Linked DNA regions of Styela clava. The protein of the gene in region 2 purifies or fractionates together with the protein of the main gene of each other region. This does not show direct contact. Links are inferred from orthologs where the notes say so. Each region holds a gene or a part of one and is shown on either strand. Other genes may lie near its edges.

Evidence for each region.
Region 1: the proteins of multifunctional methyltransferase subunit TRM112-like protein (region 2) and tRNA (carboxymethyluridine(34)-5-O)-methyltransferase alkbh8-like purify together in Homo sapiens (co-immunoprecipitation; 3 studies listed by IntAct, with this or other methods). This does not show direct contact. The link is inferred for Styela clava from reciprocal best matches to the Homo sapiens genes TRMT112 and ALKBH8.

Annotation. Positions count from the first base shown.
Region 1 is NC_135256.1:5,599,947-5,607,972, forward strand, and holds the start of tRNA (carboxymethyluridine(34)-5-O)-methyltransferase alkbh8-like, read right to left. Parts: upstream 3,232-8,026; coding exon 2,222-3,231; intron 1,928-2,221; coding exon 1,771-1,927; intron 1,046-1,770; coding exon 917-1,045; intron 437-916; coding exon 246-436; intron 1-245. Other genes in the region: tubulin-specific chaperone A-like, read right to left, coding at 4,571-4,885; uncharacterized protein LOC120327843, read left to right, coding at 6,927-6,990, 7,221-7,334, 7,756-7,890.
Region 2 is NC_135251.1:12,669,003-12,677,078, reverse strand, and holds the start of multifunctional methyltransferase subunit TRM112-like protein, read right to left. Parts: upstream 3,059-8,076; 5' UTR 2,780-3,058; intron 1-2,779. Other genes in the region: transmembrane protein 62-like, read left to right, coding at 5,206-5,379, 6,313-6,562, 7,117-7,296, 7,590-7,808. UniProt on the Homo sapiens protein: Acts as an activator of both rRNA/tRNA and protein methyltransferases. Together with methyltransferase BUD23, methylates the N(7) position of a guanine in 18S rRNA.

The DNA.
Region 1 (8,026 bases), on a different chromosome or scaffold from region 2:
ATTAATCCCTCAACCGAACACAAACCACGACCTAAGTCCCCAATACAGGTTGATTTTCATTTTGAAAATTGTTCTGATTGCTTAATAAAATAAAAACTGAAGTTTTATCCCAGTTAAAAGAGAATGAGAGGTTGATTATAGCAACGTGCTTTTTACTCTTTCAAATTTATAACGATGACCGATATATTTTCAAATTTCTGAGGAGGTTAAAATATATTCTTCCTGAAATCAACTTCTAAACAAACCTTTTGTATTCTTGTTCCATGGCCCAAACAGAAATTAAAATTTGTCCTCCGACCCTCACTAGTTGTAAAAGTTGTTCAATCGCTTTCATTCTTCTCTCATGAGTTGAATAATGATGAATAACAGCAATACAAATGCAGGCATCAAAGATTCCATGCCGTAATGAAAGATTCAGACCATCACAAGTGAAAACCTATAATTAGCACAAGGTTGAAGGTCAAATAATCATAGTTAGACATGTGGAGTTTCAAACAGAAGATTTTGAAATGTTTGTGGCAGGCATATTACTGGTTGCATATATGGCCCGGCAGATGGGCGCATCGTGCTAAGCTTAGGAACACGCTTGCCACCGCACCTCTGATTACCCTGTGTGGGTTCGCAGGTTTGAATCCCATGCGGAGATAATTATGTGCAAGAAGATTGCTGGACTCCTCGCAGCCGTAGGGTGATACACGGAACCGCTGGTCGGTTACGGCTGAAAACAAATAATTGTCTAACTGATTCCATACTAGACATGGACTGGTAACTGGACAAGAGGCTGTGGTTCGCTATATGTTATTAACTAGTCCTATTGGCTTTCCGCTCCCAAAGGATAAATATGTAGTTCAGAGCACACGCCTACATCCGTAATTTCTAGTAAGTTTATACAGGAGTCCAAGTACATGAATCTCACCTTGAAACCTTTTTCTTTACAAATATTGATTAAATTTAGACTCCGATCACATCCAATCATGTAAACATCCTGCCTTACACCAAGATAACGACCGCTGCCGCAACCTACGTCTATGATTGTTGAGTGAGCCTGAAACATATATTAATGTGGATAAATTAGCACAGTAGTCAGACAAATCCTACAACTTAGTCAGTCAGTCAGTAGTTTATTTTTCACCAAAAAGCAAAGCAAAAAGCAAACAAAAACTTGGCAAAAAACATGAAAATGGCATTTCATGGTGAAGGGTGACGAACAATGTTGGTTATCACGCAGCGACACCTGTGGGAAAAGTCTAACTTTGATACAAAGCCCCCTCACCCATGGAATAGGTCATTCTGAGCCAAACCACGAAGATTCCTACAAACAAATTATAAATTCAGGGCTATATTTGCAGAAAACATGAAATACAGAAAACATGAAATAACAGTACCCTTATCAAGAGTATGATATCATCAAGTCTTTGAAATATTTTCATAATTGACAGTCTTAATCTAACACAAAAGAACTTGTATATCCAGGCATATAAGCTGACCCTCTAAAAACGACCCTAAAAGGGTGAAATTATAAAAATTCACATATAAGCCGACCCTACAAATTGTACATACGGTCTTATCATGAGAACATAGCATGGTTCGAGTTGTAGCTGTTGGAATTATACTAGCATAATGTCATTTCGTTCAGTGCGATCAGAGTTATGCGGAATAAGCAGACCCCTTAGTTTGGCGACTTAGTTTTTTATTTTAAACTTACTTTGGAAGTATTCTGAATGGTCATTATTCAGTACCAAAATATTTATTAGGTAATGGAACAAATACCTCCAACTCATTAATAAATTGTTTAACTTTGGGCCACGGTTTGTCTCTTGTTGATGTAAAATGTGAAGCTATTTCATTGTAAACTTTATGAACATGTTCTTCCTCTAATGTTGCAGCTTCTACTTCATTTGCTGGTCGATCTACATCTGGATTTTGGCTGGAAAAACAAACGGATTGATTATGTTTTATTAAATTAAAATATTTTTGAAAAGTATAGTCAAGTATAGTTGCATCAATTCCTTAACATTATTTTCGAGTGCACGAAAGTATTTTATTTGGCTTTTATAACTCCACCTCCTATTTGTACATAGAAACAATTACACTTGAATGCCATGAGCGAACTGTCAGTTATGGTTCACATTATTGCTTTACCAAATCTGAAATGGATAATGGTAGATTTAGACACTAAATTGTAAATCTACCGGACGTGCTAACATCATAATTTTCATACCTGGGACCCCTGTAATCCTCCCTAGCTCTTCTAAATGTTACAGACATCCTCATTCCACGATTTACAGAAGTTAATTTATCGGCATCATCTTTGTTCACAGGAATAAGATCAACTTTTCGAGGACAAATCCCATGAGTCCATTTGTATCTCGATTCTCCAGTAAAAATCATTAAAGATCGTTCCTTAAGCAAAACTTGGTTATGTTCCTTTGTTTTTGAGTTTTTAAAATCCATCACTGTCTGTGAATTTAAGCTTAATGAAGCAAGCGTGTCATCAAATGCTTCAGGATTATCAATGTGTGATGGAATACCCTGTCCTGGCTCGTATTTATTTATTGTAATTTGATTCGGTTCTTTGACAATATGCCCAGTTTCTTTCATTTTTGAAATTACAGATTTTAAAATTTTTGGTATGCCTTTTTCTAAAGGTGATTTAGGGTCGACGTCATTGTGTTTATATCGAAACTCGTACCCATAATGCCAAACTTTTCTATGTTTTAAAATGTTATCAGAGCAATCGAATCCGTTTGAGACCGGGCTGTCAGCTTCGAGAAATTTTAAAAGTTCTATTTGTTCCGTTTCTGTGATAAAATCTTCAAGTATAATCAGTCCCGGAACATTATCCCATCCAGGTGATTGAAAATCACCAGATTTTTGTAGATTCAAATCGTTGACATAATGCAAATATAATATCGGATTAGGAGAAGCGAGATTCAGAGTTGATTTCAATACATGTCCTTGTAATTTCTCAAATGTGGCTTGTGAATTTTTCGTGTTCTCGAAGGAAACCATCGCATAGGATTTTTGAGGTAGCATGATTAGTTCCTTAAAAGAAGTTATTATTTCTTCCAAATTGCTTCTTTGAACTCCATTAGCAAGACCCCCGTTTGATATAACAATATACAGGGTTGGGAAATCAGAAAATGTTAATCCTTCTTTGTTTAGTTTAGTTCTAGCTTTCACCAACTTCTTTCGAAATCTGGTCGAATACTTTGCAGAATTTTCTATCATTTTATTGCTAGAATACTGAAACAAAATTTTACAAAACTAAATTGAATAGTAAAATATGCATGCAAGATAAATAAAGACCCAGTGAACAATCAAACAATTATAATGTATAAGAATAGCCAAGGTATGGGTCAACTATAAATCATGTCCAACACTTGAAATGAAATCTGAAACAGGCGGCATTTCATCAATATGCTTACTTAAAGAAATATCAAGTATGGTATGGAACAGTTTAATCATGGTTCATAATGAAATTAATATTCACAGCTGAAATTATACTAAACAAGCATACACCGATACTCATTGATACACCTAAAACAAAAAAAAGTCTGTAAGGAGACTAAAATGAAGATTGAAAACTGCTTTCAAAAGTATTATATTATACGAGACTTAAACCAGTTCGAGTCTTACAGATCTTGGTGTGTACCAGAACAAGGAAACAAAAAATACATGTTAAGCAGTGATGATATCATGAGTTTGCTGACATTGATATAATTGATGCAACATCTTAAATGATACGATATTCATGCAACCAAGAGCTATTAAGTGGTTGATTGAAGTAACCTGCATATTTCCCTATGAATAGCAGTTCTAAAATTTTGTAATGTGTCTAAAAAAATCACACTTAAAAATTTTGTTTATGAGGTGGATTTAACATCGGTAATTGAATTTGTACAATTCTGCTGAGGAGAACGTACTGTGCTAACAAATGATGTAATCTTCCTATTCAATTTGTATTTGTCAATGGTGAAGTATGTAAACACAGTATTGGAACAACTGGTCTAACTATAATTTAGATGTGAAATATGATGTTCATGAATGAAACATCAGATGAGATATCATAAATTAGTTTATAAGTCAAAATCATTCAGGAATGAGATATAACTAAGATGTCCTGGGAATATGTATAGACTGCCATTTGAAGAAAAATCTGCCAAAATCAAAAATTTAATTTTTGTTTAAATTCAAAGATACCCAGAAAAAGGATTCTGCATTTCAATCAACATAGATTCAAATATTCGGAGTTGTGCTTTTTAACAACGATAAAATTTTGAAATATCATCTTAAAATGGACATAATAAAAATGATTTCTCAGCAAAAATAAAGTCTGCAAAAAGCAGTAATTTGTAAATTCTTACAAAGCAGCTTTTCAGGATAAATTCAAATTTCGTCAAGTCAATTTTATTTAAATATTTCCAGTACTGGCATTTATTATAAATTTCGAAGAATTGTGATTTTCTACATAAACTACATTGGTATATATACTCATTTCAAATCATGTTCAAACCACATTTTCAATGTATAACACTAATACAGTATTCATATTTTGCAGTTACAAAGCTTATTTCACTTCATTTAGTTGATTCACAGCATTTTGATATTCTTCAGTTTCTTCCAGATCTTTTTCAGTTTCAACAAGACCGCTTAATACTTCTATTGCTTGTTCAAGTCTTTTTTGACAATCTGGACCCATTTGTTTAGATTCCGCCAAGACCTCCTTTTGCTTTTTTATAACATATTCATCTCCACCAGCATCTTCCATCTTACTGATCTTTTCTGCAATACCCACAGCTTCTTCTTCATACATCACCTTCTCTTTAGCAATTCTTTTCACAACTCCAGTTTGAATTTTTAGTTTTCGTTGTCTTTCAGCCATTTTGTTAGATAGTTGATTTATTTCAATATCACCTGAATTGGACCAGTAACAATATTTGGGTCTAGTATAGTTTGGTACGACAAGTACTTCCAGTGGACGTAGCATAACGAATTATGCATATGTTATTCCTAACCCCCACCTGACTATGCCATCCAAAAATTATGTTACTACGACGTCACCATCACGTATTAGGGCTTGCCAAAGTATAATTACAAATAATGGCATCTGTGCCGCCAATAACGAACTCGCTAATGCTGACGATCTCTCTCCTATCGTGATCGTTGTGACAAGAAATGAGAGAAATAGCTTGCTCGATTTCGGGTGATCGTCTGCGCGTTTTGGATGACCATCCACATACTTTGGCCTTATTACGCCACTGTGACGAAATGACATAATTTTTCGGTGACGTAATCAGGTAGGGGTTAGGATTGACATATGCAAAAATTGTCAGGCCAGACCAACTAGAAGTGCATGTGGTACTAAACTATACCAGACCCCAATATCTATTTAAATAAGTGAATAAGTTAGAAGTGTAAAGAAATGCCTGTTGTGTTGGATTAACTTTGACCATAATTATATCACTCATTATATCAAAAAGTGATATTCAAATTAATTGATGTGTTATCACTCACATTCAATGAGAATTATGAATTAGTGATGTTTATTAAATTAGAAAATGAAAAAGCTAAACATTATGAACATTGTCAAAAAGAAGTTAGTCTCAATTTGGCCAGCAAACTGTGAAATTCCGCTTTTAAAACTGCTCTATCCATCTATACCAGTGGTTCCCAAAGTGGGGTGCGCGAAGCACTTTCGGATGGTCCGCGAAAGAAATCTGTTATATGGCTCATAGCTTGATAACACAAAAATTGAGTGCTTAAATTTGCAAATAAGCATTTGCCCCTTTTTGTTGGAGACACTGATTCTTCACTTACTGTTTCGATCACGCTGCCCCATTGTGATGTCACAGATCTGTGGGTGTGATATCACTGAGAGTTCAATTGTTGCCAATACAAGTTACCGTAACTGCAGAGGTGTAGCTGATGCTGCCTTTTTGCATGTTCATCGGTATAGGAGGGAGTTACAGCAGACACTAGGCAGTTTATGCCAGTTCGCTTTTAAATGCTGAACATTTTACAACAAAACAAGTGCATTCATCTCGTTAAACTTCGTCATATACGGTACCGGTACTTTTGTTCGTTTTAATGTTTATCACTACACGACGCATTGATTTTTTGTTGTGATATTTTAATAATGTTTTTTTTATTTTAGTGCACAAGGCCGGGAATCATCCAAAAAATTGCAAGGGGTCAGTCATGGAACTTTTTTCAAAAAGTTTGGGAACCACTGATCTATACTGTAATATACGGTACCCTACTGATACTACAAGTTTCCTCGAAAAACATACAGGTACACAAAACAATAAACACACAAATAATTGGTTAGCCTTCTAGTCGGATTTCCTCTTCCGCGAGATACGGTACCGGGTACCGTATGATAAATACCGGAATATATATAACTTATATGTATATGTAAATCCTATCACAGTATCATCGGGAAAACTGGCCTGGAAAAAGAATCCTCGAATAAAGTTACTACGTAGCCTATACCAACCAATTAAGACAAAAACCAAAATTTGTATATAATTTATGAAGAAATAGAAAGAATCGAACAGACTTAGTAAAGCTCAACGTCGCCTATCTCACCTTTGGCAGCTCAAAGAAATGAAACGAAAACGGCTACGAAATGCCAGATTCCCCAACTGATTACCATGTGTAGTAATTCAAGCGTATCAGATTGGCGGTAGCTGTTTTCGTCTTTGAGGATAACTGCGATATGACCGCACGATCAACCTATTTTATTTATTACTAACTAATATAAACATAACACGAATATTAATTAAATATTTAAATTTTTACGATCACTTTGCCTAGTAAATCATAGTGTTGTTGGGGTTTCGTGCATTACGTTTCCCCTGACAACGTTTGTCGCCTACCGTTCGCGCGAGTGCTGTCTGACGCTACTCTTTTCCATTCAGTCTATGTTTGCGATGACTTCTGAGGACGTCAAAGATGAAGAAAAGAATGATAATACACCTACTGGAGGTTTAATGTTTTTATTTATACATACCACAGATTTGTACAATTTCTTTATCATCTTTATAAATGAATCCAAATATAATTTATCTTATGTCTGCCCCATTACCGCAGTTAACGTTATGCCTTTGTGTCTGAAATAGAGGAATGATGTTATCATTCGAAAACAAGAGAGTCTACCCACCTTCACAAGGTAAAAGCTTGCATAATAATTTTATCTTTTATTATTACATTAACAGGTAGAAACGGAAATTCGGATATGGAAGTTCAAAAAAAAGTTATGTTGGGAATATTATTTGCTGTGATATTCTTCGTCATCGTTTTTTCCATCGTAGTTGGATTGTCATTACAAGGTATCTCTATGATTACACTGTTTGCTCAATTTTTTCTGTCATTTACTGAAATAGGGCACCCACCATACAAGGCAATCTTCAGTCATTGCAACCTACAGGAATAATGTATAATTTTATCTCATTTATTTTTTTGCATAACCCCGTTCAATTTACTCCCTTTTACTTGAGGATAATTGTTGACTTAATGAAAACCAAATCTGTGGCCTCGTAATAAGGATTTAGAATTGTATCTCTTACGCATGGGCAGGCTACTTTACATACTTTATCTCATTTTCTCTCAGCTATGGCTTCATACCATGCCCCCAGATAATAACTTATATATCACTTCATATTTTTAAATAGTTTCATTGTTATTTTCATTCAATTTTATTTCACTATCATTTTTATGTAACATGTTTCATTTAATCTTTCTTTGTTTCAGTGAAATCATCTAGGTATGTGGAACATCAAAAACAATTATGCGATCGAATAAAAGATTATACAAGAACTAAAATATTAGAAGGAACTGGTTTGAATAAAACTCCCGAAGTTGTTGATATCAACAGATGTATAAAAGGTATGATCCACTGTTCATAGAATTACTTGGATAAAACATGTGATTGACTCCATCATTTTACTTATTTCATGGGATTATGTACATCTTATTTCCAAACAAGTCCCAGTGCAAGCAACCACTGTCCAGACTACAATCT
Region 2 (8,076 bases):
AAGCAAAGCGGTACAGATTATGTGGTATTGTACATACGAATAGTAAAATGGCATTCGAATATTTTAATATTGTATTCGCTATTCGAATATTTTGCACAGCCCTAGACCGGCCATGCTTAAAAACTCATTTCGCAAAGATAGGTAGTGGAAAATGATAGCAAGATTGGAAGCGGTTGTGAACCGCGCTTTGTGAAATTTATATAAATCCATCGGACGGTTAAATATCAGTTATGACGTCATAATACTGCAAAAAAGCAATTTTCTGCGGAACACCCGGAGGTCTCTCGCGGAACACCGGTGTTCCGCGGAACACCGGTTGAAAATCAATGATCTATAGCAGTGGCCGGCAACCTTTTTTCAGTAACGGACCGGTAAAGCCTGACCAAAATTTTGGCGGACCATCTTTATACAAACGAACTAATCTAATGTAATAAATAATATGCGTTAGAAAATGTATGTTGACAATACATTCAAAAACGAAGGTGATACTATTCACGTAACGTATTTCTCACGTTAAACCCACTTCGATCTTTCGTTTTTGTAATTGCCATTTTAAAAACCCAACCTCACGTGAAGATAACAATGGCATTGTACGTTTTCATGTCACCTTTCTGCGGACCGGTAGTGACCTTTCCGCAGACCGGCGATGGGCCGCGGCCCGGTGGTTGCCGACTACTGATCTATAGTATATGAAGGAATTTGCATACAATAAACAATGGAATAACTGTTATCTACAACATGACTATATTACCATGCATTTCATGTTTGCAGATTACTGCGATATATTTTTATATACCATGAGTTACGTTATCAGAATTAGATTAATACGGCAAGCATTTAAAATAGTGCTATCGGTCATAGATTTGAACATTTTGCGCAACACAAAATCATCCTAGTAAAAGTCCATACTTTTAAATACCAACCATTATCCAAATTATTTGCCAAAAAGCGGGATAAAGTATAAATTATATTTCTGACTTGCGACAATTTTTTCGTGAGTACATAAATACGAATGGATTTTTTTATATTCGGGCACTTCAATGTCCGCATATATATCTTTTATTATTTTATAAATACGAAAATATGTATCAAGAATTAATTATAGTCAGGCAGTTTACCACACATTTTAAGTCCATGGATCGCCGTTGTATTTTGTAAATACGAAAATAGGAATCAAAAATTAATAATAATTGCCGTGATTAATAATAGATTGCCGTGATATTGTGCCCGAATATAATTTATTTTTGATTCCGTATTTCATTCCTTGAACTTAATATCTGTTTTTATAAATTTTGCAAGCAGTTCACGCACGAAGACTTTGAATAATTATGTATTAGTCAAATCGAAGTCCTGTTAGACCACTGGTTCTCAACCAATGGGCAATGGGCCACTGGTAAGCCTCAGAGGCATTTTGAGGTGGGCCACAAACATATTATAAATTACAAGGTTTGTTGATCTAGAACAGCTAGATATGAAAATATATATATATTAATTTGTTTGCACATTACATCAAAATTAAAAAGAATATAACGAGAATGTCATGGCCTTCAATTCGCCAGGCTCGAACTGAGCATAACATATAAAAAAATTAACAAAAAACGAATCCACGAGGACATTGTCTCATAAATACGAACAGAACAAACATTAAATTACCCAATTCCTAATATATTAAATTTTCAAGTATTCCTCACTATCCATCGGAAGAAATTTCATCCACTCCTTCCTTTTAGTGTTCATCTTTTTAGTGACTTCAACCACCTCATTATTCGCCGGAAGAAATTTCATTCACTTCTTCCTTTTACTGTTCATCTTTTTAGTGACTTCAACCACCTCATTATTCGTCGGAAGAAACTTTATTCACTTCTTCCTTTTAGTGTACAGTTTTTAGTGACTTCAACCACCTCATTATTCGTCGGAAATTTTTTTATCCACTTCTCCCTTTTAGTGTTCAGCTTTTTAGTGACTTCAACCACCTCATTATTCGTCGAAAGAAATTTCATCCACTTCTTCCTTTTAGTGTTCAGCTTTTTAGTGACTTCAACCACCTCATTATTCGTCGGAAGAAATTTCATCCACTTCTTCCTTTTAGTGTTCAGCTTTTTAGTGACTTCAACCACCTCATTATTCGTCGGAAGAAATTTCATCCACTTCTTCCTTTTAGTGTTCAGCTTTTTAGTGACTTCAACCACCTCATTATTCGTCGGAAGAAATTTCATCCACTTCTTCCTTTTAGTGTTCAGCTTATTAGTGACTTCAACCACCTCATTATTCGTCGGAAGAAATTTCATCCACTTCTTCTTTTTAGTGTTCAGCTTTTTAGTGACTTCAACCACCTCATTATTCGTCGGAAGAAATTTCATCCACTTCTTCCTTTTAGTGTTCAGCTTTTTAGTGACTTCAACCACTTCATTATTCGTCGGAAGAAATTTCATCCACTTCTTCTTTTTAGTGTTCAGCTTTTTAGTGACTTCAACCACCTCATTATTCGTCGGAAGAAATTTCATCCACTTCTTCCTTTTAGTGTTCAGCTTTTTAGTGACTTCAACCACCTCATTATTCGTCGGAAGAAATTTCATCCACTTCTTCCTTTTAGTGTTCAGCTTTTTAGTGACTTCAGCCACCTAACTACCCGTCGGAAGAAATTTCATCCACTTCTTCCTTTTAGTGTTCAGCCTTTTAGTGTTTTTTAATTTTTCACCTTTGGGAACACTTCAACTTCCGTTTTCCCTCCACTTCATCCGTTTCTTCCTTCAGCCTTTTAGTGTTGTCCCTGAATTGGCCGTCTGATACCAGACTGTACCGGTACTGCTCACCGGCAAAAATCTCTTTTTCACTATACACACAGTTAGTTGTTTCCTACTGTCCCAGTTACAGTACGGTACCGGTATAATGCTTTTGTCGCTAACAACAAAACTAGCCAAAAATACCGAGGAATTGACGCAGTATCGCTGTACAAAACATCAACAAACGCACGTGCAAGAATAGCCAAATAATAATTTTTTTTGAGCTCTTTGGGGTTATCAATTTCCGGGTTTGCTTCTGGGTTTACGAGAGGCAGATGTCCGACGTCCAACATAAAAAACTTACATGTCGCACATCTGTGTCTTAGGCCAGTAAGGTCTTGAACATGTATCCCGTCTCTTTTATACCGTTTAACTATTATGCAGATACTGTTACATTTTTGGGGTAAATATACATACATGCATCCAATTACTCTTTGAGGAAATATAACAACTACTCAAAACAATTACTTTTTATATATGATGTGGCAAAATTTTCAACTTGAACGTTGATGGACATATTTTTTAAACGGCATATAACTTTATTGAGATTTTCTTATCCGGTACTTAGAGATAAAACTGTGATTGATACAATGGGACCTCTTGAAGTATACGCACCAAGATGGCGCACAGCCTGAACTCAGGTTATGTACCAGGTTAGAGTTCAGGTTATGCGACATCTTGGTGCTCATATTTCAGGAGTAGGCTACCATACAATGACCTAACCTCGAAAATAACAGTAAGAATCTAAGCCCATACATTTCAATAATAATTTCAAAAATGGAAGTCAAAAATCAAATGGAGCTTATGTCTTGCGCACAATACAAAGCGTAATAATATTTCGTTGGTGTTGATGCATTTATGTTGAGACTTGGATTTCGCTTTTCCATTTGGTATAGATAACCAGAGCTTTTTCCGTGTTTGTACGCTCATGGAATGATTCCCGTTGCACGAGGACCAGCCAATTTCCAGATATTTTGCGAGACACTTAATAATGACACAGCCTAATAATAATTGATAATCAATAATTAAAAATTGTCAAGCCAAGCATGCAAATACAATAGAAGACACTGGAATTGGTCAATATTGTCTTGAATTTTTTCATCATGTCTCATTTGTAAATATTTTGGTTTTATTTTCGGAATGCTCGAATGAATTCTTTAGCCTTATGGATAATATTATTATGAGCAAAAAATTTAATATTGGTCAAGTTTTGTGAAATCAATGGTCGAATAGCCAGAATAATGCACTAACGCACAACTGTTATATTATATTACTGATTTAATGAATTGCGGAATTTCACATACAAATTACTCTATACATATCGTACTGTATTGTAAAGTATGGTACAGTAATAAAATGTACAAATAATGCAAAAAGTACGATGTAAACGAGGAAAACCAATGAGCCAGCCCAAAGCACTGATTTTCTTGATCACAATTATCCAGTTTAAGGGCTTAGATATTACAGTACAGAATTCTATTACATATTTTTTGGAAGTGCGTTCGTAACCTCGAAACAGCGTAAGTCGCGACCGTCGTAACCCGAGGACTCCATGTACTGTTGATTTAATAATGATATATAGCAATTAGTTTCCTGATTGGGCCAGCTACAGATAAAAAAAACTTCGTTACTGGGTCGGAGGCTCAATATGAAACTATGAGTAAAAAGCGGTTTATTTACAAATAACTAGCGTAACAACTAATGTAAAGCAAACAGCTAGAGACCAAGTGTCACAGTGATTAATGGGACTGACGACTCAACGCGTCCAATAATTCTTTAGATCGCTTGTGGGTTTAATCTGCTTTTGATTTTGTCAATCTTCATACTTCGGAATACTGATTTGGATGGGTGAGTATGAAGTATACGTGGCTCGTTTTACACATTAAATTTAGAGCGTGGGGAATTACGATATTTATTTAGCTGGCGATTCGTTTTGGTTGCCCACGACTTCCCTTCCCCAGTGAAAATGTGTGTTGGATTTCATTTATTTTTCAATTTCGTATGTTTTAATGGATGGAAAAAACAAAATTGACTATGACTTTTACTCGATATTTTAAACAGAAATTTTACATCCATAAAAATTATAGTCGTAATTTTAGCAGGCACAAGTGGCCCGGGTGAAACATATGGTGGGCTGGATCTGACCCGCGGGCAGTAATTTGCCCACTCCTGTGATTGAGTAGTCTACGGCCATGCTTTGGCGACGTTGAATCGTATTTCATTTTCAAATAATCACATTTAATAGCTGTGTTAGGCATAAACTACTACATATATGCATTTGTCTAATTAATAACTGGTGACTGAACAAAACGTTATTCTCATTATACACGAAATTTTATCGAATCCAATCGATCGCCCAATTTCCTTCAAAACAAAATCGAGACCGAGGCTATAACGTGAATTATATTTCTTCGAGTAGATTATGGGAAGGACAAGATTGCTTTCAGTCTGTCATGTATCTCTGATTTCTTCATTATGTATTATTGTTTCAATCTATGCATTTTATAAACCGGAACCTCGGTATTTTCACGAGATGAAATCAAACAATGGACCATATCCGAGTGACAGCAATGATAATTTGTTTTGGTTTGTTCAGGTGAGTTCTAGGATAGGATAGGATAAGATTCCTGGACAAGAGGAAAACCGATAAGACGGCTTAATCATATGGTGAACCACGGCTTCTCGTCCGGTTACCAGTCCAGGTATTTTATCTTCAGAAGCATGGTCTTGTCTTAATGGTAGAGGAAGCCTTAACCGACCAGCGGTGACGTGAACCACCCTACGGCAGTGAGGAGTCCAACAATCTTCTCGCACATAATGCGCAACACCTACACGCGCGCATTGAGAAATCGTAAAAACAAAGCTGTGTTACATCAGATGGGCCAGGGGTTGTAAACTACCGGTAGTTCTATACGGAGAATATTTTCCCCGCAATGCTCAATTATACGGCGAACCACGACCTCTGGTTATCAGGTTACAGGGAGGAATTTTTTTTTATCAAAATGAACGTTTTATATATTTATATGTATAGACGCGAATAGAATTGTATGTACCATGGTTAAGAGCAGTGATAGTCAATATCATATCAGTTTTGTCTGTTATATATACTATGTTAGGGTTGCCATACCGTCCGGAAAATTCCGGACATGTCCGGAATTTAGGGTCAAATTTTGCCTCCGGGAAGAATTTAAAAAATGCTCAAATGTCCGGAATCCGGAATTTTACTGCATCTGCAATTCTACTGTGCACACTGCTAATGCGGAACATTGTTATTTCGTACCGTGCGCATATTTTTTTACTACGAAGTCATGAAAATAGTCATGCACTGTCCGGAATTTTGCTTTTTCAAATATGGTGACCCAATTCTATATGTCATCTTTGTTGATACACCCTTGATTATATTTATGTATTTCATTACGCTGCAAATGTATATTTTAATTATTTCGCTAAAAAGTAAGGACGGTATAGCTGCGCTTCAATTTTATGCATCGATATAATATATAGATTTCTCTATTTTTTTATCAATTAGGTATCAGATATTCACACCAGTAAATTTTGGAAATCGGACCAAGTTGAAGCTTTTGATGATTTTTGCAATTCTACTCTTTCTACAATAAATCCGGAATTAGTGCTTGTTACTGGAGATCTTACCGATGCAAAAGAAGAAAACAAGATTGATTCTCGACAATTTGAAGAAGAATGGAAAATATATCACTCTATTATCACGAAAAATAATGTCACAGAAAAATATGTGTGGCTTGATATCCGAGGAAACCATGGTAAATCTTGAAAATTGAACGTTTTTATGTTGAAGTGCAGTACGATAACGAATAAAATTTGGACACCCCAGTCATGTGCTTGAAACTAAAAATGGGTACTCCCGAAGTATGTGAACCAAGATGGCGGACTTCGAGAAACGTAGTATGTGAACGAGGTTGGGATTAGACCATAATTTCAGGTACAAACAATACTGGAGTCACTTGGCTAATACGAGAGTCATTCGGCTAGTCCCTGAACTCGTAATAGAACTAAAATTGGTTAAAACTACATGGCCTAACCCTAAACTGATACACATACTACGTTCCGGTGTCCACCATCTTGGTTCACATACTTTGGGGGTACAGAAAAAGGCACATTTGTACTCTCATTACTTTCTACGCTATATGTAATTGATTGGTTAACTAATCTAACCTATCCTATTCTACAGTCATGTAAAATTATGTCATTTCAATATTGTATATAATATTAGAAATCCAACAGATTTGTAAATGAATAACATCTTACTATTATCATTTGCTCTCCCTGACACAAATTCTTTTCCTTTCTTGCACAGATGCGTTCGACGTCGCTCGCGCAAATGATCCGAATTCTAATTACTATTTAAAATATTCTGGTGACAAAGGAAAGTTGTCGTCTGCTGTTTATCAGGTTGAGAAACAGTACGGAAAATACTCTTTTATTCCTGTTGATGCGACCATGATACCAGGCCCAAGGAGACCATACAATTTTATGGGTGAGAATATTACAAATTGTAGATTGTATATATACCTAAGTCAAAACATAGCCTACTACTCTACTGCGTGGTAGCTTGCTTACTTCGCCTGCTCTGATCGAAATTTTGCAGGACTGAGCACGCGATGAAAGCTCTAGGTAGATAAAGTCTTCTGAACGTGGCGGATTTAAACGCGTAGCAATGCCACCCAAGCGATAAACTTAATGAGAACATGGAGGTTGTTTTAACGTGATTCGTATAGCTGGGAAAGAGCTAAACTTCTCATTTTATCGGTTATTAACGTTCTACTTCAGGGTATCTTTCAGAGAGAAGCATGGAGAAACTTGAAAATTTCGAGCACGAAACGGCCAGCGATAATTTCACTATTTGGTACGGTCATTATCCAACTTCCACCATAACAAATTTTCCTCCCAGACTCACACGTTTGGTTGGAAAGAGGGGTGGCGTATACTTAGCTGGACATCTTCATAAATACTGCGGAAGGTCGGAAATATATGCCGTCAATCCTCATGGTATTTGTTTCTTCGTACTCGTGACAATATTTGATGTATTTTTGTAGATTGCATCAGATTTAATAAAGTTTTTCGTACGTAGTTTGGGTAAAAACTCGATTTTATGATAGGCCTACAGTAAATGTTGAGTGAGCTGACTGTGAAGTGAATAAATAAATTTGGTTTTAATTTGCAGTTCACAATGACGTACAATTATTAATTTTGTGAAAGAGATTTAATCGTGAATATAAATTTTAAAAAAATGTGACAGAAAAGTTTTTATTCTATC